3 linked regions of the Lytechinus pictus genome follow. Each later gene encodes a partner of the first gene's protein in a complex. Links are inferred from orthologs where the notes say so. Each region holds a gene or a part of one and is shown in the gene's direction. Other genes may lie near its edges. The genes, in order: actin-related protein 2/3 complex subunit 2-like, actin-related protein 3 and actin-related protein 2-A.

Region 1 (7,506 bases):
TTGTTTTTGTTTTATATTATGTCATGTACATAGACCTGAAAACAGAAGATGCTCTTTAGTGTATAAATTTTGTAATTATTAAGCACGATGGGTCGGCTATCTAACCAAACAATATGAGACCATGAAGCACGGACTGACATAGGCCTATGTTAACCTAAAAATGGACTATTGAAGGATTGTTTGCATAAACTCATAATTTAAAACATTAACAACTATCTTTATAATTCTTAGAGCGCTAGCTGAATTTTTTTTATGTTTAGACCTGGAAAAGAAAAATTTTAAGGATTTAATTTTTTGCGTATAGTCATAAACAGGATGCAAATCCTATAAATTGGTGATACACTAACCTTAATGAAAAGGGGACACGTATCTCATTTATCAAGTAAACATAAAAGAGGCGTAATGAGCCATAAATTTTGAGCGGACAAGATATGGCGTATCGGGTAAAATTAATACAAAGTTATGAGAAGGCGAAGCAAGCGAAATTTTAACATTTTTATTGCAAAAAATCAATTTTGTGGTAGTGTTTGACTTAATATTAAACAAATGATATCATATTTCAGATTCTCTCTTTCCTTTTCTCCCTTTTTCTTGGTCGTGACCTTTTTTGTGGGGGGGGGGGGCCAAGCCCCCCCCCCCCATCTGTGCACCAGTAAGATATAATGTGAGTGAAAAAGTGCGATCTTCTATTTATTATTCATAGATCGGGGGGGGGGGAATTATTGACTGTTATAGAGAAATTCATTAAGATGATACAAATATCAAGCAAAAAAAAAAGGGGGAGACGAAAGAAGGAATAAGACAGTCTAGGTCTGCATGCCTGGGTCGTGTAAAATATGAGGTCACATTTAGGTTGCCCCCCCCCCCCCCCCCCCGTGTAGAAATATTCCCTAAGAGGAGACATTGAAAATGTTTTTTTTTAATTGGGGCTCATTTTATTCATTATATGTAAATTGTACGAGGAAGAGCAAAGACTAAAACGCATCTTTTCTCTCCGCGCCATCAACATCTGCGCACTTCCTGCCATGTCCCTGGGAAGCGGGGGGTGCTGGGGGTGCTGCATTGAAGCACCCCCAACATTTTCCTTGGGGTGCTGCGTGTATTATTCTCCAGAGGCAGCACCCCCAGGTTGTCCGGAAGATGTTTAAAAGTGGAAAATATAACCAAAATTACCTTTTAATAATGTAGTGAAATCCCCATTTTTTGCTTTGTTCTCCATATGTTGTTGTGAAAACTTTTTTTTTTTTTTTACTTTTCAAATTTACATCAGCACCTCCAGTAAAAACTGTGGGGGTATTGGGCAGCAGACCCAATACCCAGGCAAAGAAGAAGAAGAAGTAGGGCCTACCTCTCTCCCTTCTTCATGTTCTTGTTCATTGAGACCACATTACGACTGTTCGCGATCCGATTTTGGAACAAATCGCATTTTGCTCATTTTCTGAAAATGTGAATGGAACAAGTCATTTTATTTGAGGTTAAAATTAATTGAAAGAATACCAATATAACCATTTTGTAAGATTGTAAGCCTTTAAAGGCCAAATTTGTTTCAAATCGTAGCAAATCGTACGACTGCTATGACGTCATTACGACTAACGTTATTAAACATTCTAGGAATTAAGGATGATAGCATAGTCACATATTTGAATATAGGGATTCGTACGATGATCTCGAACATATATTACACAGTAAGATATTCCAAGTCTCAATATTAGCATCGAATTCTGCTACGTTTTATTCCAAAATTGAGTCGCAGACCAATCGCAAGGTGTGCGGTCGCCTTTATAATGGTGAGTGGTGAATTATCGGATGGTCTAATACCACTTAGTCTACTTATCAGTTCGTCCAACTTCACATAGTCTAAACTCATTTCGTCTAAAACCAGTTCGGCTAATATCCAATTCGTCTACTTCCCCGCGCACTTGGTCTAATTTTCATTTCGTCTAATTTTCATATGGTCGAATGACCGTTTGGTCTAATTTCCACTTGGTCTAATATCCACTTGGTCTAATGACCACTCGGTCTAATAGCCAAATGGTCTAATGACCACTTGGTCTAATAGCCAAATGGTCTAATGACCACTTAGTCTAATAGCCGAATGGTCAAATGACCACTTGGTCTAATAGCCAAATGGTCTAATGCCCACTTGGGCTAATCGTCACTTGGTCTAATTTTCATTTGGTCTAATTCACACTTGGTCTACTGTCCATTCATTCTTATATAACATCATTCATTATTATTCATTTGATCTAGAATTAACAAATATATTAATGGATAAATAAATACACCATGCATCAGTTAATACATGCCGCCAGGATCCGGAGGGGTAGAGCCGCGGGGTAGGGCTGGTGGGCGCTGGAGGACTATCGATGAATTATTCCAATGAATCATTCTAATCAAATATAATTCTCATAATTAGGCCTATACATGTATATCGATTATATAGATGATGGTGAAAATTATATCAAACTCATAATCATTATCACCTCATGTACATTTTACAGAACAATATAAGTTGGGACCTTGTACTATAGCTTCTTATAATGGTCGAATGGCGGGGTTTCATCAGAATAGCATTATTATGAAGAAAGGAACGAAAATATAATGCAATTGATTGTGTGGATACGTATCAGGTTAACATGTTTATGCCTCTTATACCAGTTAGATATAGTTTAATAACACTATACACATACAGGTTTATTGGGTTCCATCTTGGTAGCAGCCATTTCTCGATTCTAACCTTCTTCGTATAAGTGGTCACGTGTAATAACATAGTATAGTCTACGCTTGCAGGCCTGTATCAGTTATCATCACAGTAGTCAGTCATTATCTACTCATTGGCCCGTATTCTGAAGTCGGGTTTAACTTAAACTCAGGTTTAAAGTTGTGGTTTAAGTATGGCGAGCCAATTGTTACATAAATTACTAACTGTAGAGATATCATACTTCAGCTCATTTGGCTCTCAAATAATTCATACATGTGTAATTGTCTAGGAAGTATAAAAAGATTATTGGCTTCACCATCGATGAATCAGGAAAGAGCACAGTAAACATAAGAAACATACAACTTAATGACAAATTTGATACTATTGGCTATTCCCATACTTAAACCACAACTTTAAACCTGAGTTTAACTTAAACCCGACTTCAGAATACGGGCCATTCTGTTTTTTGTTTGTTCTTCTTCTCCTCCTCCTTAAAATGGATTGACAGGGTTAATTCCCAGCCCATCAGGGAAATCAAGAAAATCAGGGATTTTAAAAAACATTTTTCCAGTCAGGGAAAAATCAGGAAATTACCTCAAATCAGGGGAAAATCATATAAATGAGGGCAAAATCAGGAAATTTTGATCGGCCCAAAAGTCGAAAGCACGATAGTCCGTCAGACTCTGTTATATTTTGTTGTATATATATCAAAACAATTTATTGAATGACAGGTTATGGTGTTCTTTTTTTTTAGTGTAGCCTCTTTTACTACAGTACAAGTACTGGTACATATGATTAAAAATGATAATACATGCTATTAACAAACAATATACGTAATCAACTGCATCATCTTAGAAAACATGAGAAACTGGGAATGGGTTTGAATAATTATCAGGAAATTTTAAAACCTTATTTTTCCACCTCTATGAACGTATATTAGCGTTTAATATTTCACAGAAAAATAGAAAATTTTATTGTTTTTCACCAAAACCTTCAAAAAATCCCCATTAACAGACAAAAGAAAATCCCCCAATATTTTTTTTAATCCCCATATTTTCAAAATTTGGGGATGGAAATATACCGTCGTCACTCTAACTGTACTCCAACATCGAGGGGCGCACGTGTGAAGCTTCGAAGCCGGCGCGCGGAAAGTAACTTTAAGATTTTCACCAGAAAATTGATAACAAGTCACTAAACTTTACAAATTAGACCAAGTGGCATGTAGACGAAATGAATGTTAGACTATCTGGAAATTAAACAAAGTTGAAATTAGCCGAAGTGGAAATTAGACCAAGTGGAAATTAGCCGAAATGGAAATTAGACCAACTGCACATTAGACCAACTGAATAATGGACCAAGTGAGGATTAGACCAACTGCACATTACACGAACTACAATATAGACCAAATGAATAATGGACCAAGTGAAGATTAGCCCAACTGGGCATTAAACCATTTGGCTATTAGACCAAGTGGTCATATACCAATTGGCTATGAGACCAAGTGGTCATTAGACCAATTGGCTATATATAGACCTTAAGTGGTCATTATAGACCACTTGGCTATTAGACCAAGTGGTCATTAGACCAATTGGCTATGAGACCAAGTGGTCATTAGACCAAAAGAGAATTGGACTAAGTGCATGGGTAATAATAGTCTGAATGTTGTTAGCCCATCTGACGATTAGACCAAGTGATATTAGACCAACCGTCAGTAAACCTTTATAATCACCCCCTAGCAAAAATAAAGGACTTATCGCCCTCTCGTCAGTAGAGGGCAGCAAACACAACTTGTTTTCACTTCCTTCTATTTCTCTCTCGCACAAACGTGAAGTCGAGCGTCGCCCACCTTGAGAAAAAACACCTTTTTTCCCCGGAAAGTGCTGGAAGAATCTGAAAAGTTCTATTGGGTACTGGAGACACAGCATCAAGATGATTTTATTAGAGATAAAGAATAGAATAATCGAAGAGACACTTCTAAATAAATTCGAAGCAGCGGTAGCCGGGTGAGTAAGGAAGTGATTTGGGAATGGGTTGCCTCCCATCTTTGTGCGTACACTGGGGTCACGGTCCCATTCTGAGAGAGTCGTGTTGTAGGAAGTGTAACTACACTGCTCGTAGACTGTACTCTGTAATCTGTATGTGTCTAGATCAGCCATTCTCAATTACTTTTTTTGAAGCGCCACATTTCTTGTTGAGTATCTGTAGTGCGCCACTATATCCATTACACCAGCAAAGTATTTTAGAAGGGGTCTAGAGGCCCTTGGTGGGGGTCGAGGGGGCAGAGCCCCCAGAAGTTTTTGAATGTTAGGCCTTTTAGATTGCCCAGAGGGGCTTTAATTAATATCAACAGAAGAAATACGAATGCCAACAAACTACACATTATATTTATCAAAAGAAAAATGATTAGTGACTTTTTCACAACATACCAATGAAACAACTAGTTCAGACTGTTCTGCAACAGATCTATTGGCTGAAGCAAGTGGCGTAATGAGTAAAAAGAAAATGAGGGGGCTAAATATGGCAGCTGAAGCAAAAATGTTGAGCTTTTCAATACAAAAATCTATATTTTGACATAATATTAAGAAAACAATACAATATTCAACTCTTTCCCTTTCCTTTTCTCCCCTTGTCCTTGAAACACTAGGGGGCCCCAATCCCCACCCCAATCTGTACGCCAGTGGCTGAATTTACAGTCCCTGATTTTCAATGGGCCGAAAATTAGGCGTTGCACTGCACTAACGCCAAAAATTGCCCCCCCCCCTCTCTCTCTACAACTCGTGTTAAACAAGAGTACATGCAGGCAATCGTGGCAGGCAATACATCGAGCATATTTCACTTTTACAACTTCGGATTTTAATCGGCTTCGGAAAACAAAGTTTCTGCTTGTTATGTCCCTAATGGCCTAATTCATTATCTTTTATTATCAGGATGTCCTTTGAATATCATATCATTTCATATTTAACTCTTAAGCAAAACGTATACTCAGGAAATGCAAAATTACTCGCCGTAGAAATAGAAATCCTACAAGCGGGGCTTTCAAATCACTTGTGTGGCACATAAACTTTGTAGCATAGAATAAATAAAAAGAACACCATCGATCCTCCATTATAAGGATTATCGAGTGCTAAATTTGACAAAATTTGAGGAAATCAATAAGTACTTAAGTTTCAAGTAAAGATTTTTTGCTTTCTTTTTGTATTAAAATGATCACCAAATCCTCATGTTACTGGTATACATTTTTCTCCCCAATTTTTCCTTATTTTTTTTATACCGGCTCCCAAGCGCCACTCCACAAGGCTCGGTGCGCCACCATTTGAGAATTCCTGGTCTAGATCTAACGTTAGATCTACCAGTATAGTCACGTATTGTATTACCGGACACTATTATGATTCCGGACGCGCATATTACTGCGTTCTAAAACAAATTTGTACCGTAAGACTTCCGCAATTCGATTTCACAGAGCAATACATAGAACAAGATTGCAAAAACAAGGCAAAAAATCCAACTTTTACCTAATTATCTCTAAAAATGAAAGAAAATGCTTAAAATATCATATAACGTAGTTTTGTATTAACAATTGATATATTTTCTAACGGAAATATGGGCCTGATTTTGCCGAATTTCAATCTCGTCCACTCCTTCGATCGAATGATGAGGTGTGGTGAATTGTGGGTGATCATCGGTGGCTAGTTCTCAAGGGTTCCGGGACAGCCCGACCACCGGACAGCCCGACCCTGGACAGCCCGACCCGCTGCCCTGGACAACTCGTCCCGGTCGAGTTGTCCAGGGTTGGCTCTGAATCGGACAACTCGACCACTTGAATTCTTCTTCAACATTTCAGGTGAAGATTGAAAATGGTCTGATTTGCTTTATCAGAAGAGGTGCAGACTGCAGAACTTCAAATGTTATATGTTAAATTTTCTGTCGAGAATGTATTGTAGAAACATGGATTATGCGGGAAAATACTTTTGAAGTAAAGTTTGAAATTTTATTTCATGAAATGTTGAAGAAGAATTCAAGTGGTCGAGTTGTCCGATTCAGAGCCAACCCTGGACAACTCGACCGGGACGAGTTGTCCAGGGCAGCGGGTCGGGCTGTCCAGGGTCGGGCTGTCCGGTGGTCGGGCTGTCCGGACCCCGTTCTCAAGGTACCCGTGCGCGAGGTTTACCGTGAGTAGAGCCGTCGGCAGCGTATCGATAGAACTTGATAAGCGTCACGATACGAACGCGAGCATATTATTATTGGAAAGTGCCATGGAACATGCAGCTAACAAGACAAAATAGATAAGTTATCAAACACAAATTTATTACCAACATCTGCTCAGATTCGATATAAAAAAAAACAAATAATACTTAGAATTTACTCATGATATGATATAAGAAGAAAAAAATCACACAAATTTGCTCTTACATCATTATAATCAAGGATATCTTTACCCGTCCGGCGCGCGTCCGGAATCATGATGTAATTTGTCGCGCACGAAAATAATTGTTTTTCGTGGAGGGGTATGCGGCAAGTGCGATGCAAAGAAAATTGTTGGTAAATATAAAATAATTTTATCATATTCATAATTTTCATAATATTTGGAATAGCGGGTGTGAATTTTTCTTGATTGTATTTCCTCTAGTTGTCATTTTTAAAGCACTGAAATAAAGGTGTCCGGCAATAGGATACACTGCCATACCACGACTTTTACTAGGCTGAGTTGATAGTTTAGTTAAGTGTGTGTGTGCAGGAGAAGGTAGACAATGTTAGATTATATTAAACTTTAGGGTATTATTTAGACAGCTGGCAGCCGTCTGCAT
Region 2 (7,060 bases), on another chromosome or scaffold:
TATTCATTTTCTTGTACTTGTTTGTCCATTATAGAAACATGTATTTACTTTGACATTTTACTTTACCATGTACACATTTAATATTACCATGTATGCACCGCTTTGTTCCAATTTACCGATAGATATTTCATGTTGTAAATTATTGATGTTTTTGAAAACGGTATATAATTTCTTCGTCTTTTTCTTACTATCATTATTATTCTTTTTCTTCTTCTTCTTTTCTTCTTCTGTTATCTTCTCTGTTGTCTTTTCTCTTTTTCGTCTCCCTCTCACTTTTCCCTTCTTCTTCTTCCTTTTTTTTTCTTCTCCTCCCCTCCTCTTCACGTTTCAATGATTGTCTTGTAATATTTCATTGATGCTCCTTTTCCATATATATTGTTCGTTATACACTGATTTTAAAATGTTTACTTTGTCAATTGTATGTTCCACACGGCCCCAATGGAAATCAGTCTGTGAACTGTTTGGGCTTTTTAACCGTGTATAAATAAAATAAATCTTATCTTATCTTATCTCATCGAACAGGCAATTCTGGCGCGAAGCGCAAGCAAAATTTTATATAGTAACATGAAGGATTTTTTTTTCCAAGTCTTCCCCTCACATTATTTCATTCACTCGTCTTCCTCCTCTTATTTTCCTCTTCTTTTTTTTCTTCTGTCTTTCTTCTTCTTTTCCTTTTTTCTTTTCTTCTTTCTCACTTTTTTTTTGGCTCTGCCATTTTTTTTCAGGGGGGCACCTGGGGGGCACGTGCCCCCCAGGCCCCCCCCCCCCCCGTAGCTACGCCACTGATGAAGGAAGATCCCCTCTTACTCATCCTTTTCATGATTTACAAAACATGAATAGAGTGTCCCGTTTTAGGTTTAAAACTAGAATTTTTCCGCTTGCGCTTTGCGCTCGCATTATTTAATTGTTGAAATATTGAACATCTTCATGCTGGCTAAGTGCAAGCAGTCCTTAAAAGGCACTTTTCGATCAGTTCAAAACGTATACAAACTTTTTCTGCTCTCGCTTTGCGCTCGCATTATTATTGAAGGAAGATCCCCTCTTACTCATCCTTTTCATGTTTTACAAAACATGAATAGAGTGTCCCGTTCTATAGGTCTAAAACTAGAATTTTCCGCTCGCGCTTCGCACTCGCATCAATTGTTTAGTTATATAGCTATCCTGCTCATGATTACAAAAATTGATTAAAGTTTTCCATTCTTTATGTAGAAATGTCAAAATTTGTCAGTTCGCCCTTCGCGCTCGCATTTTGATTGTTGAAATATGTAACGTCTTCATGGCTAACTGCAAGCAGTCTTTAACAGGTAGGCTTACCTTTCCGATCAGTTCAAAACGTGTATCAAAAATTTCTGCTCGCGCTTCGCGTTCGTAGTAATTATTGCAGGCACATCTTTTTTTTTCAGAATGTTCAAAGTTTAGGAAAAAATACATACAATTTAAAAAAAATATTGCTCGCGCTTCGCGCTGGCATTATAAAATAAGGATTATGATATTATACATTTATGTTGAAAGAATAAAGCTAACAAGTTACTTATAGGACTACCCCCTTCAAAGAAACAAACAAAAGATCATCTTCGAGCGGCCGATCGGGGAAAATATGGCTGGAAAAAATTCAGCCCCCCCCCCCCTATTTGCGAAGGCTGGATGGCCGCCCCTGCATTATTTCAAACGTCTGAAAAGCGACAAGGTTCACTCACTGTGTCGCTCGCTCGCGGCAAATCTTAAGTCTATCCCATAATAAATTCCCCTGGGAGTCGTTTAGGACAGTGACTGAAAATTCGCTCGCTAGCTTCGCTCACTCAACTGAAGGCACGGTCAGCCTAAATGTAATTCTGAAGTTTAATGACAACAAGATAATTACAAAAAATGAACAGCATAAAAAAAAAAATATCGTGATGGATGATATAACATGATTATGTCATGATGGGTGTCATATCAGTTTTGAATTTTCAGCTCTCTATATTGGTATCAACCCCCCCCCCCCTTCCACCACTGCTCTGACGAAATTTACACCTGACCCTATCAAAGGCAAAGTTAGCCAGAAAATTTTTCAGTGTCAAACAATACTCATGACGAGGAAGAACTTCGGGGTGCTTTTTTTATGAAACTTGTCAGCACTATACCACTCTATAACAGTCAGAAATTATTGCAATGGTTCTAATGATAAACGAATAATAATTATATCTTCACGGTATACCTGCATTTCACCGAAATTGTGCAGATATATGTAAACCCAAGCAGGAACTTTAAAAAAAATACAACTTTTACAAATAAGGGGGCCATGCAGACACACCATGTCGCGCACGTGGATTTGTTAAAATTGACCCAAAACTTTAAGAAATATAGACCTAATCACCCGGTTAAGTCCACCCCAGAAAAATGTTAATATGAATACTTCGATTATATCATTTTTTTAACGGAAATAAATAAATCTAAATCTAAAATAGAGAAAAATAGAATAAGCACAACACTGAAAATTTCATCAAAATCGGATGTAAAATAAAAAAAAGTTATTACATTTTTTAAGTTGCGCTTATTTTTCGCAAAAAAGTGCACTTATGCACAATTCAGTGACATTCGGATGAGACAGACGATGATGTCCCTCCCTCCATATTTCTTTTGTGTTTCTTTGTTTGAAATATACAATATTTCATTTTTTTCAGATTTGACAATAAGGACCAACTTGACTGAACCATATAGTATCAAGCAATGCTAATTCCACATGTTCAGGGAGGAATTTTGTTTCACTTGACAGTTAGGACAACATTAGAATAATTCATATAATAAAATATACAAAAGAAAAATGATTGGGTGACGTCATCAGTCTCCTCATTTGCATACCGTGCATATAACACCTGTTTTGTGAAATGAAGCGAAATTTTAAAATATTATCATTTTCTTATTTTACATCCGATTTTGATGAAATGTTCAGTGTTATGATTTTTGGATTTTTCTGTTTTTATTCAACATCAACTTTTTGTTGGGGTGGACTTGTCCTTCAGGAAGTATTTTGTCCCGTTTTTTTCTCCCTATAAATACTTTAATTTTCAAATATGCCCTCTCAGGTTGAAAAATAAATAAATAAATATAGTAAACAATTATAACTAATGCAAGGTTTGTTCCGGGGTTTGTTTAGCAATTTTAACCGTATGGGGATGTTAAACTGAGCCAACTGGTGTATTGGCTCAGTTGGTAGAGCGTCCGTCTCACAACCGGGAGGTCGGGGGTTCAAACCCCGGCCGCGTTAGACCAAAAGACGTTAAAAGATGGGAGTTACTGCTACCCTGTTTGGCGTTCAACGATTAAAGGGACAGAGCCTCGATCGTCGATCTGGCGCTGCACAGCGGGTCCACGATCAATTGGGCAAAGCAAATTTTCGAAGTATTTCATTTCATTTCTATTTCGAACAATAAAAAAAATATGGATGGATATTACAATGAAAACTATTAAAACCTCTCGATATCAAAATAATAATAAAGCAGAAACCAGAATATTGTGCATGCCATGCACACGTTCCCACAATCATATAATTCGTTCCTGTATCAAATCATTTGCTTTGATCCAGCTGAGGGATGGCGGCTTGTTCAAAGCTCATTTACACCCGAATCTGTTTATCTGATGGTCAATCGGATCGGGTTTGCACCCGAAGCCGTCTCTATGGTCTAGTCTAGTGGTTAAGCCACCGGCGTTCCAATCTGGGGGCTCGGGTTCGATTCCCGAGTAGCGGATGAAGGGGCGGATGCAGGATTTTCCAAAGGGGGAGGGGGCATTTTTTACAGGAAAATAATTGACAATAAAAAGGGTCCTCACTTGCGTATGCATGCATAGCTTATCCCCCCAAAATATTTTGTGCCTCTCGAAGGGGGCGGGGCGGATGTGCTCCTTGATATATCATAGGTCTGTCGGCTTCCTGATGAGGGTCATCCACATTTTTTTTTCGTGTCATCAACTTGTTTTTTATATAGCCCCATCTACGATGACGAAGAGATATTCAGGAAGCAAGAAACTCACTTTGCGTGCATATGTGATCTGATACACAATACAAGCCTTCCGCCTTGCCTTAGTTCCTTGTGCACTGTTATTCGTTCCAGCGAGTCAGGCTCGGGAAGTGGCCTGAAATTCACCCTTTTGTGAAGGTTGTGGATCAAACTAGAAATAAATCATGGCTTTTAGGATGCCTGCTTGTGTAATCGATCCTGGGACAGGGTAAGTTAATCGTCTTCTCATAGTATTGTCGAATTATAAAATCTGATAGAAAAAGGGCAACTCCCATCTTTTCGTTTTCAAATTTCAATGATGATCATTTGATGGTCATGTTGGTAGCGATAGTAGGCCGATAACCTTGTCGGTGTTTGGTAAAAAAGTCAAGCCTCAAGAAACTCAACAAATCACACTTGCCTATATAATTTGTAAGATAAAAATAAATGCCAAATTTTGTGTGAATCTGTGTGAGAGAAAGTAAGGCATGCCGAAAGTATCGTTCATGTCGTTTCACTTGGTTAATCTATAAACTAAGTTCTAACTTATTTGTTGACTGAAATGAAAAATCTACTGACTGTTTCGGATAGCCTGGAGAGTAACAGTCATTTTACTGACGTAGACTTACTTTCCATGGAGCCTGGGACGGACGGTATAGGCCCACACACACCGAGTATTTTGGAGACAACAATGTTGCTCCAAAATACTTGTTCTCTTTAACTTACTAATATAAAACTTATGTAAATGGTCTACAACTTCATTTACCCCCACTAGGAAAAAATAAAATTCTTTTTACACGAAAAATTATTTTTAAAAAGAAGAAAAATCATGTAAGAAGATGAGCTATACTCTCAGATGTTATTGTCGCCATCCTGCCGTCTTTGTTATCGTAGCCAAAGATACAGACGCGTATGAGCAGTGCCAACTTAGAAAAAAAATACTTGCATTGGCCGATAAATATTATGGATTTTAAAATATTTGCATCGGCTAATAAATATCATAAAATCACTTTCATATTTTACAATTCATGATATTTATCGGCCGACACAAGTATTTTTTATTATCTAAAAAACTTAATTCTGAGCATATTTTTTTGTGGGCCATCTATTGGTTATTTTTTAATTTAGACCTTTGCTTTTTAATTTTTTTTGGGGGGGGCATGGCCATTAAAGGTATAAAGGTAGCAGCTGAGTGTAAACTTACATTCTTACTCATTAAAGGAGAAGTTCACCGTGACAGTATGTTTATTGTAAAAATATATTATATTGCTGAATGTTTGAGGAATATCCATCAAAGAATAAAGTTATTAGAATTATAATCATTTGATATGTGACGTCATGTATGCAAGCAGCTTCCCTACATATCGAATGGTTATAAAAATCAATGAAATGTCATTTACTCAGAAACTTGAAAATGGTTTTTATTGTACCTTCATTATATCAATACACAAATGATTTCACACCCAGTCCTAAAAAGAAAGAAAAATGTCATCACGAACCATTAAAAGAACAAAATTCATGTATTTTATATTACATAGCATAGATGGGGTAGCTCCTTGTTTATGACGTGACAAATCAAATACCTGAAATTCCAATAACTTTCCTAATCTTCAATGGATTTTCTTCAAACCTTCAATATTTTATCAGGGTGAACTTCCCCTTTAAACATCACCAAGACTTTTGAAACCAACTCCAATACTTTTCTTGGGATAGACATATACATGCATGCCAACCATTCCCTATTCAGAGTATTTGTTCCTCTTTCTTTGCTATGAATACACCAATACTTTTTTGTATGATTTGTTACTTTAAAAAAAATTTCCAATCATGAAGCATGTATTATACACAGGGCGTGACACTAGCGCCGGTCCGACAGTCCCAGACTGGTAAAAATCACTGTCGGGCCAGTAACTTGTTGCATGAAAAGAACAAGTAAATTCTTGCCTACGAGCACATGTTTACAAGGGTGAATTATCAAGTTTTCAAGTAGTCATTCACATGTTTTTTCACCGATCTCACTACAATAGGATGGTGATAGAACATACATTGAGACAAATTTTTAAAAAGACTTTTTTTTCCAAAAATTACTTTTTTTCCTTCTTGGTTCATAGAAGGTTGGCAGGTCTGCATATATATTGGTAATAGAATAAGCATGTTGGCTGGGTAAAAAGTATTAATATTATCCAGGCATTTTATGCCAATGAATTAATTTATGGAATTATAAATGAACTTGTTAAAACTTTTTCTTTCTTTTTCAGATACACAAAGTTAGGATATGCTGGGAACACAGAACCTCAGTATATATTCCCATCAGGTGAGTCAAAAAAAAAAAATCAGATTCTGGATTAATACAAATATTATTTCTTAGTTAAGAATTCATATTCAATTCAATATATTCTAACATCAATAAATCTCTTTAGAAGAAATGAATTGATAATGAAATTTTGTTTTCTCTGGGAATATCTGTTGTATTGCGAGCATTTTTTGCTCATATTAATAAGAAAAATAGTTATATCCTCGCTTAACGAAGTTTGAAGGGGGTATATACATGTAGGAATCGGTGTACAGTCGGTCAGTTGCAATCTTGGGCATCAAACCATTTTCTCAGTTTTCAACCAATTGGTCATTGGGTAAAGATGTGCAAGACACATACGTGTTGAAAATTGCATTGCCATTGTAACAACAAATTATATGTCTAAAATTAGGTACAAATTTTCCGGTTCAAATTATTTCATCAGTTTTTAACCAATTCTCATGATAGCTCAGACATTGGTCTTGTGGTTAAAATAGGCAAGACATATTTTTCCTATTTGTTGGAAATTTTTGCCTTGGTAACGACGTGTGGCGGGGGTATTAATCACCTTCAGTGGTAGTTCTAGTTATAATATTTGGTTACTTACTGTTTTTTTTTTAAACTATATTAAAAGTCTTTAAATACTATACAATAATGGAGTTCTGCCTTTAGCAGAGCAGCTTTCACGCACACTGCATTTTAAGGAATAAAATTCCTGCCAGGTACCATTTACCTCACCTGGGTTGAGTGCAGCATGAAATGGATGAATATCTTACTGAAGGAAATGGAC
Region 3 (8,088 bases), on another chromosome or scaffold:
TAAAATGTCCTCAAGTTTAATGAATTTTCATTTTCACATTAGTATTACTACATATTCCAAACCTTTTCCCTTATCAACTCCTTAAGCATACATGTATTTTTATCATTTTCAAGTAGAATTCCCTAGCATTTTTAGCAAGTACATTATTGACTGGTCAAAAGATGAAAGTGGATACTAAAGTGTGGAAATAATTAATTGTAAACTTAAGTCATAACATTTTCCAAAACTTGTTGAATATTCAAATTTCTAGGGACAGTGATTTTCCGCGATCGCGGAAAACGGACGGAATTCACGGAAAGGGTGTTTTGAAACGGAAAGTGTCATTTCAAACGGAAAATCACGGAAAACGTATTTTCCCGCAAAATACACAGAATAGCAACAGAAATTACTCCAAAATCACAACAAAATGAGAATATTAAATGGCCACAAAACCCCAGAAAACACGATCTCACTTCGCTACTTTCATGACAATTCACACATCGTGACTGCACTCGACATCAGCACACTTGATTGTACCCCGCACTGTACCCGTACCCTGCCGGCGCCGGGTCGGTTGGGCTTCACATGCACACACATATCGTTCACTGCACGGTCGTGTGTTGCTGCCCTCTACGTTTGAAGATGTAACAGCACGATATCGTGGTCTTAAAATCCAAGATGGCGGATTGGCAAAAGCCGTTGACTGATGATAACGATGTCCAAAAAACCCCAAAATTATCGATGAAATATCATTTCACCGTGAAATAATGGTAATAATGTGAAAGGTGAGGATGTATGCATGCTAAATGGGGTTGGAAAAATATTTTTTGCACCCGCATAGATCCGATTAGAACGGATTCTATTGTGTTGTTGGTACAGTAGCAGATACAAATTTTGACCAGTGCGAGTGTACGGTATTCAATGTGTAAACGGAATTGTCACTTTTCCGTGTGTACAAAGTCTATGGGGAAACGGAATTTCCGTTTTCTGACATGCTGAAACGGAATTTGAGATTTTCTGAAACGGAAAAGGCAATTTTTTGAAACGGAAAATCACTGTCCCTAAATTTCACATATGAATTGCCTGTCGAGTATTTTTTATTTGGTATTGATCTACCAGGAAAGCGAAGATTATTCCTTGTAATTTCTGGAAATTAATTTTAAAAGTACCTCATCAGATTCAAAATAGATCTGATTGCATAAACTGTAAGTTTAGAAAGGAGACCCAAATCATAAATCCATATATACTCTATAAGTCCATAAATCCATATACATGGACATATAACTCGATGATTCTATAACATGTTAATTGGATATTCAGTTGGCTGGCATTCGATACATTTGTATGCCTGTAAGAATGACAAATTTTCTTGGCTTCACCAGAATTTAATCATGCAGACAACATGTATACATATAGTAATAGTAGTTTAACATCAGAAATTGATCTTCCAGAGTCAAGGTGGGAGGGAATTTTCTTAATTTTCTTGGTATTTTCCAACTTATTTAAATATAATTCCATTGACAATATATGGGCATTTCATGGATATGAATTTCTTTTCGCCACACGGTCAAATGGTTAAAGTAACAAAACAGTACCGATAATATGCTTTAAGCAGGCACTTGAATGGCATTTTAACATTTTGATTCAGCCCTAATTTGAATATATATATATATAGGCCTCTACAAAAGAAAAAATTGTCACTTGCCCTGTCGGGCAAGTGATGAAAAAATTTGCTTGCCCGATAGAAAAAACTGCCCTATTTGTTTTATAATTTTTTTTTCATTATGATGGCACTACCCTTATTTTGAAAGGTCATACAAAATAACAACAATTGAGAATCATGTACAGTATAAAAGAACACACATTTAAAAGTTTATTTTCGGCAACGTAGGACTGAGTCATCACGTTTATTTTGAATTTTTTTTTCACTATTTATAAATGGGGCTTAATTTAAGGTTAAAAAAAAAACCTTCACCAAAAGTTGCTAAAATTTCATATTTTGCATCTTTAAATCCACGAAATGGTTATCTGTTTGCCATATTTCCTTAGAATTGTTTTGATTTAGTTGGAAACTATAAAGAAAGCCAGTGAAAATTATTCAGCTCTTTATTGACTCTGAAAAAGATCGTTTTATGATGTTTGAAAAAAAAAATGAAAAGTGGAGTGGCTAAAATTTCACATTTTGCATCTTTAAATCCATGAAATGGTCATTTATTTTCCATATTTCCTTGAATTTCTTTTTTAGATTAGTTGGAAAACTATCAAGAAAATTAAGAATATTCACCTCTCTCTTGACTTTTCTTCATCATTTTATGATGTTACACTCGGTCAATATTTTTTTTATTGTAGTCCAGCATGTAGACTTTCATGGGTTTTTTTTTCATGGTGTTGCAGCATTGATCATTGATCGTATCGTTTGATCGTTTTACACTTGGTCAACACCATGAGAGTCTACATGTGGGAACACAATAATAAAAAACATTTACCGAGTGTAACATCATAAATCAGAGTAAAGAAAGAGCTGAATATTCTTAATTTTTCAGTAGTTTCCAACTAAATCAAAACAATTTCAAAGTAATATGGAAAATAGATGGCCATTTCATGGATTCTTGCAAAATGTGAAATTTTAGCCACTTCTGGTGGTTTTTTTTTTTTTTGGTGTGCATCGGCAAACTGCACAAGATAGAAGCGCATGCGCAGTCATTGCACACATAGAACGTAAGATGTGATGGCACGGTTTTTCGAACGAGGTACCTAGCGATAAATTATTGGTAATTGGCGGTGATTTTACATCAGTTTCCACCTTTTTTTTTACTGGTTTGACATAATCTGAGAGATAGTTGTGATTATCCAAAAGATATATTGAGGGTCTATACTGATATATTATTTCCAAAACAACCACTTGCCCGATCGGGCAATTGACTTTGAGAAATGCTTGCCCGCACGTCATTTTCACTTGCCCCGGGCAAGCGGTTTTGTCGCACCCTGTATATATATATATTATCATATGGTATACGATTATATACAAAAGAAAACAGCTTCTTTTACCAATACATGTATGTCATCTTTTCTATTTCCATTTGAATACTGTACAAGCTGTTATTTTCGCGTACAGAATTTTTCGCGAATCGCGGGGGTCCCGATATTTTCGCGGGTTGTTAAATTCGCGATCGGAAGATGTGCAAGAACTTCCACAACATACTTCCACAACATTTCAAAGAAGCAAAGCTAATACAAATTATGTACTAATCGATACTCTTTTGAATATGCTGATGTGTGTTTTGTACAAAAAATATGTCCCTGTAAAAACAGTTGCAAACTGTGGAAAAGGTGACTTAAATTTCATTTTTTTACCTTTAGATCTGAAAATTCATCATGCCACAGTTTGATCTGTAATCCATAGGGTTAAGCAATCTTTGGAATTTGTGTTTTGTTCGATTCATTTTTTCAAAAAGTTGATAAAAGTGCAAAAATGTGGAATTTTGTGAACAGAATCTTCACCTCTAAAAGCTCTGGTCATGTGACTTATGAATATTAATGAGCTGCCAATACGTGTGTATAGTCAATCAGATGACAATAAAATCAAATTATTTCATGGAAAATACATTTTAATAATACAGTGAGTGAATAAATATTGATAAAATAATGTTAGAAAATAGTTTAGGCTCTGATTTTGTTTCAGAAATTTAAAAAAGTGAAATTCTAGCTAACTTTTTGAATCACTAACTGTACTTTCTTAGCCTTATTTTTTGTACATATAGAGGTGCATATCTGCACAATTCACTATATACACAGGATGTCTTCAGTAGCAAAGCTTTACTGTTAGGGACATTGGCACTGACTAAGAAGTGTGTCAATATTCTCACGTGTTGTTAAATTTGCGGCCGATCGGCAATTCGCGAAATCCGCGAAAATAAAACCCCCCGCGAAAATAACAGCTTATACAGTATTCACTTCTGAAATATTTAATTTGTAAGTAAATTGTCTATTAATCTTGAATGATATTTAAAAAATGGAGCTTGCAAATTGGTGCTATATGAACAGGTGTATGTTTGGTTTTTGTGTGCATGGCTGTTTGTTTTGCTGTGATTTTAAACATGGCTATAAACTGAAGTTATTCAAAAATTTAAATTGTCAGTTCCAGTTTTTGTCTCACCTGCATAGCAGAGTGAGACTATAGGCGCCGCTTTTCTGGCAGCGGCGGCGTCAAAATCTTAACCAAGGTTAAGTTTTTGAAATGTCATCATAACTTAGAAAGTATATGGACCTACATGTAGTTCATGAAACTTGGACATAGGGGTAATCAAGAATTACTGAACATCCTGCCTAAGGTTCAGGCCACATAACCAAGGTCAAAGGTCACTTGGGGTCAACAAACTTTGACCATGTTGGGGGTATTTGTAGAATTGTAATCATAACTTTGAAATTTAATGGATCTAGTTCATGAAACTTACATGTAGACATAAGAGTAATTAAGTATCCCTGAACATCCTGAGTAAGTTTCAGGTCACATGACCAAGCAAACTCCCATCATTTGTTGTTTTAGAGATAAACATACACACAATGAAAAGTGTGCTAAATTGTGCCATGTAACGTCAGCTACCGTGAAAATGCCCATGTATGGACAAGTACTGGTATTCTTATATACCAAAAAACAAACATTAATCAAGTAATGTCTAACTATGCTAACTACAGAGAGGACAGAATTGGCACCCCATTTTCGGTTAAGTCACAAACAAAAATCAAATAGGCAATAACTTTTTAGAATTTCAATAATCAATCTTGATTGGTAAAACAATGCCTAACATTGATTACTAATAGAAGAGATGTGTGGGCTCACAATAAGGGGAACAAAATGAGACAGCAATTTTTGCCCTAAAAAAAAAAAATTTGGAAGTAAATCATGTATTTCATGAATTTTCTTTCCTTTTACAGGTTACTTTGATAGTGCCCAGTAGCTTGCCATTGTAGATTTGAGATAACTAATCTTATTTCATTTTATGATGCGCAGGAAGCCGCTTTTGGAAAGTATACCCTAATTGTAAATCAACCCTTATATTAATGGATAAGACAAGGATACAGTATAGAATATATTCATTTTAAACTTTTGTTTTGGGGTCACTTTTGTTTTAATTTTAGGAAAGAACTTTTGTGTTAGCTTTTAGATGGAATCATTATGCAATATGGGTAAATCAAGACCACATCTTGTAATTCGATGGTTAAACATTAGAAATTATCTTTCTCTTTCAAGAAACCATGCATTAATTGACTGGTGTGACAAACATTTTACTGTGTGTGTGTTGTACTGTTGTTCAACATGAGAAACAAAGACATTGAAGGGTGTTCTATCAGGCATAGCCTTTTGACAAGGCCCCATGACTTGGTAATATTCTTTGCCAAGTAGTGGCTGAAACGAGACAAGGGGTTGAAGAAGAGAGCTGGCAAAATCTGGGTAAACGTGAGATTGAAAGTCAAAAGGTCACAAGTTTCAGTCACGAGTGAAGTCAATAGGCCTTTTGAACCTGGATTTCACTGCTTGCTCTGAATAATTCATGAGCATGCCAATGCGCCAATCCACACTTTCAATGCTTAATTACATGTACATCATGGGACCGATGCATTCCCTTCTATGGTACGTGTTTCATTCATTTGGCCTCCGCCTCACAGGCCGGAAACAACGGTTAACATGATAAATCCAAGTCAGGCTCCTTAAGGCCCAGTGGATGACTTGTTCACCCAGAAATAAGTCTTTTCTTACAAGTCTCGGTCAAGGACACATTATGAATCAACCAGGATGATGTTAGAGATTTAAAACTTCAACTATCAATTGGATTTGGTATTTAATTTGTAATTTGTAAATAATTCTGGATTGTTTTATAGGATCTAATGGTTGGTGATGAAGCAAGTCAGCTTCGGTCTATGCTTGAAGTCAACTATCCAATGGAAAATGGTATTGTTAGGAATTGGGACGATATGAAGCATGTATGGGACTATACCTTTGGTGAACAAAGTTTGGCCATTAATCCAAAAGAAAGCAAACTTCTACTCACCGAACCACCCATGAATCCAGCCAAGAATAGAGAAAAGATGGTTGAGGTAAGCATTTTCTATCAACTTATGAACTTACTGGCTAACATTTAAAGATTGAGTGAATTTTTTAACATATATGGTTACCTGCACCTAACAGGAGAGAAAAATGAGAAATCCTGTGCTGAAATCATCTTTTCATACATGTAGTTGGATATCATTCATGTAAGGTATAAGATTTAATATGTGAAATTTCTATGTCAATAGTAGAATATTATTTTGATATATTTGATCTAAACCAGTGAAGTTTTTTTTTCTGTGGTACATGGGGTCTTTATTGGGGAAGTACAATTGGGACCAGGTTTGCAAAAATGACCGTTATGACTCAACACTGGTTTAATTAGTTTTTATTGTCTTGCCTGCTTAGCGGAGCGAGACATACATGTAGGTATCAACAATTGTGTTGTACACCCAATAACTTTCTATAGCTTCGAGGTGGGATCACCAAATTCATACCAGAGGTCCATCTCCTGAAGGTACAGGTCAAAGGTCAATGAACTTTCCATGACTGGCACTGTGCTGTGTTGTACACATAATAACTTTCTATATCTTCGAGGTGGGATCACCAAATTCATACCAGAGGTCCATCTCCTGAAGGCACAGGTCAAGTTCGAATATGAGTCGAATTTGAATAAGGTCAAAGGTCAATGAACTTTCCATGACTGGCACTGTGCTGTATTGTACACATAATAACTTTCTATATCTTCGAGGTGGGATCACCAAATTCATACCAGAGGTCCATCTCCTGAAGGCACAGGTCAAGTTCGAATATGAGTCGAATTTAAATAAGGTCAAAGGTCAATGAACTTTCCATGACTGGCACTGCTGTGTTGTACACATAATAACTTTCTATATCTTCGAGGTGGGATCACCAAATTCATACCAGAGGTCCATCTCCTAAAGGCACAGGTCAAGTTTGAATATGAGTCGAATTTGAATAAGGTCAAAGGTCAATGAACTTTCCATGACTGGCACTGTGCTGTGTTGTACACACAATAACTTTCTATAGCTTTCGAGGTGAGATCGCTAAATTCATAACAGAGATCCATCTCTTGAAGGTACAGGTCAAGTTCGAATATGAGTCGAATTTGAATAAGGTCAAAGGTCAATGAACTTTCCATGACTGACTGTGCTGTGTTGTACACACAATAACTTTCTATAGCTTCGAGGTGAGATCGCCAAATTCATAACGGAGTTCCATCTCTTGAAGGTGCAGGTCAAGTTCAAATGTGAGCCGAATTTGAATAAGGTCAAAGGTCAATGAACTTTCCATGACTGGCACTGCTGTGCTGTACACACAATAACGTTCTATATCTTCGAGGTAGGATTTCCAAATTCATACAAGAGGTCCATCTCTTGAAGGTGCAGGTCAAGTTCAAATGTGAGTTGAATTTGATTAAGGTCAAAGGTCAATGAACTTTCCATGACTGGCACTGTGCTGTGTTGTACACACAATAACTTTCTATAGCTTTGAGGTGGGATCGCCAAACTTGTAACAGAGGTCCATCTAAGTCATATAGCATAGTTTTGACATGCAGTCTCTTCATGACTGCAATATGCAGGGAGACAACGCTTGGCGTTTGCCTTGTTATGTATAGAGATGCAGTAGAGATAGCAATTACGGAAAATTCTTTTTGATGAAATAATAACGTTTTTATAGAACTATGAGATTTTGAGATAATGTTTCATGATGTTTACATGTAATATCTTTGTGCAAAAAAAGTATGCAGTGTAGCATAGGAAAGCTCAAATAGAGAAGTGTGATATAAAAAGGAAGGATCTGTGCAACAAGGAAGTCAGATAAAATGATGAGTTGTATAGCACTATGGAGCATTATTTTTCTTTCATTATTGGTAGTAAGCTAAGCTGCATTCCTATGATAGCTTCAATATGAATAAGGAAGTAATAACACGGAGTATGTATTTTTAGTCATGACAAAGGTATATCACATTTTCTTTACCTCCTGAAGTTTTTGTGCAGTTGTGGATCTAACTTTGAGTGACTACATTGCTCACAGTTGTG

Evidence for each region.
Region 2: actin-related protein 2/3 complex subunit 2-like (region 1) and actin-related protein 3 share a complex: the UniProt entries of both Drosophila melanogaster proteins name them as parts of the arp2/3 complex. The link is inferred for Lytechinus pictus from reciprocal best matches to the Drosophila melanogaster genes Arpc2 and Arp3.
Region 3: actin-related protein 2/3 complex subunit 2-like (region 1) and actin-related protein 2-A share a complex: the UniProt entries of both Drosophila melanogaster proteins name them as parts of the arp2/3 complex. The link is inferred for Lytechinus pictus from reciprocal best matches to the Drosophila melanogaster genes Arpc2 and Arp2.

Annotation. Positions count from the first base shown.
Region 1 is NC_087257.1:14,507,568-14,515,073, reverse strand, and holds the start of actin-related protein 2/3 complex subunit 2-like, read left to right. Parts: upstream 1-4,467; 5' UTR 4,468-4,630; coding exon 4,631-4,704; intron 4,705-7,506. UniProt on the Drosophila melanogaster protein: Functions as actin-binding component of the Arp2/3 complex which is involved in regulation of actin polymerization and together with an activating nucleation-promoting factor (NPF) mediates the formation of branched actin networks.
Region 2 is NC_087245.1:37,583,785-37,590,844, forward strand, and holds the start of actin-related protein 3, read left to right. Parts: upstream 1-3,969; 5' UTR 3,970-4,162; coding exon 4,163-4,206; intron 4,207-6,235; coding exon 6,236-6,291; intron 6,292-6,948; exon of another isoform or gene 6,949-7,060. UniProt on the Drosophila melanogaster protein: Functions as ATP-binding component of the Arp2/3 complex which is involved in regulation of actin polymerization and together with an activating nucleation-promoting factor (NPF) mediates the formation of branched actin networks.
Region 3 is NC_087251.1:669,526-677,613, forward strand, and holds the start of actin-related protein 2-A, read left to right. Parts: upstream 1-5,011; 5' UTR 5,012-5,865; coding exon 5,866-6,075; intron 6,076-8,088. UniProt on the Drosophila melanogaster protein: Functions as ATP-binding component of the Arp2/3 complex which is involved in regulation of actin polymerization and together with an activating nucleation-promoting factor (NPF) mediates the formation of branched actin networks.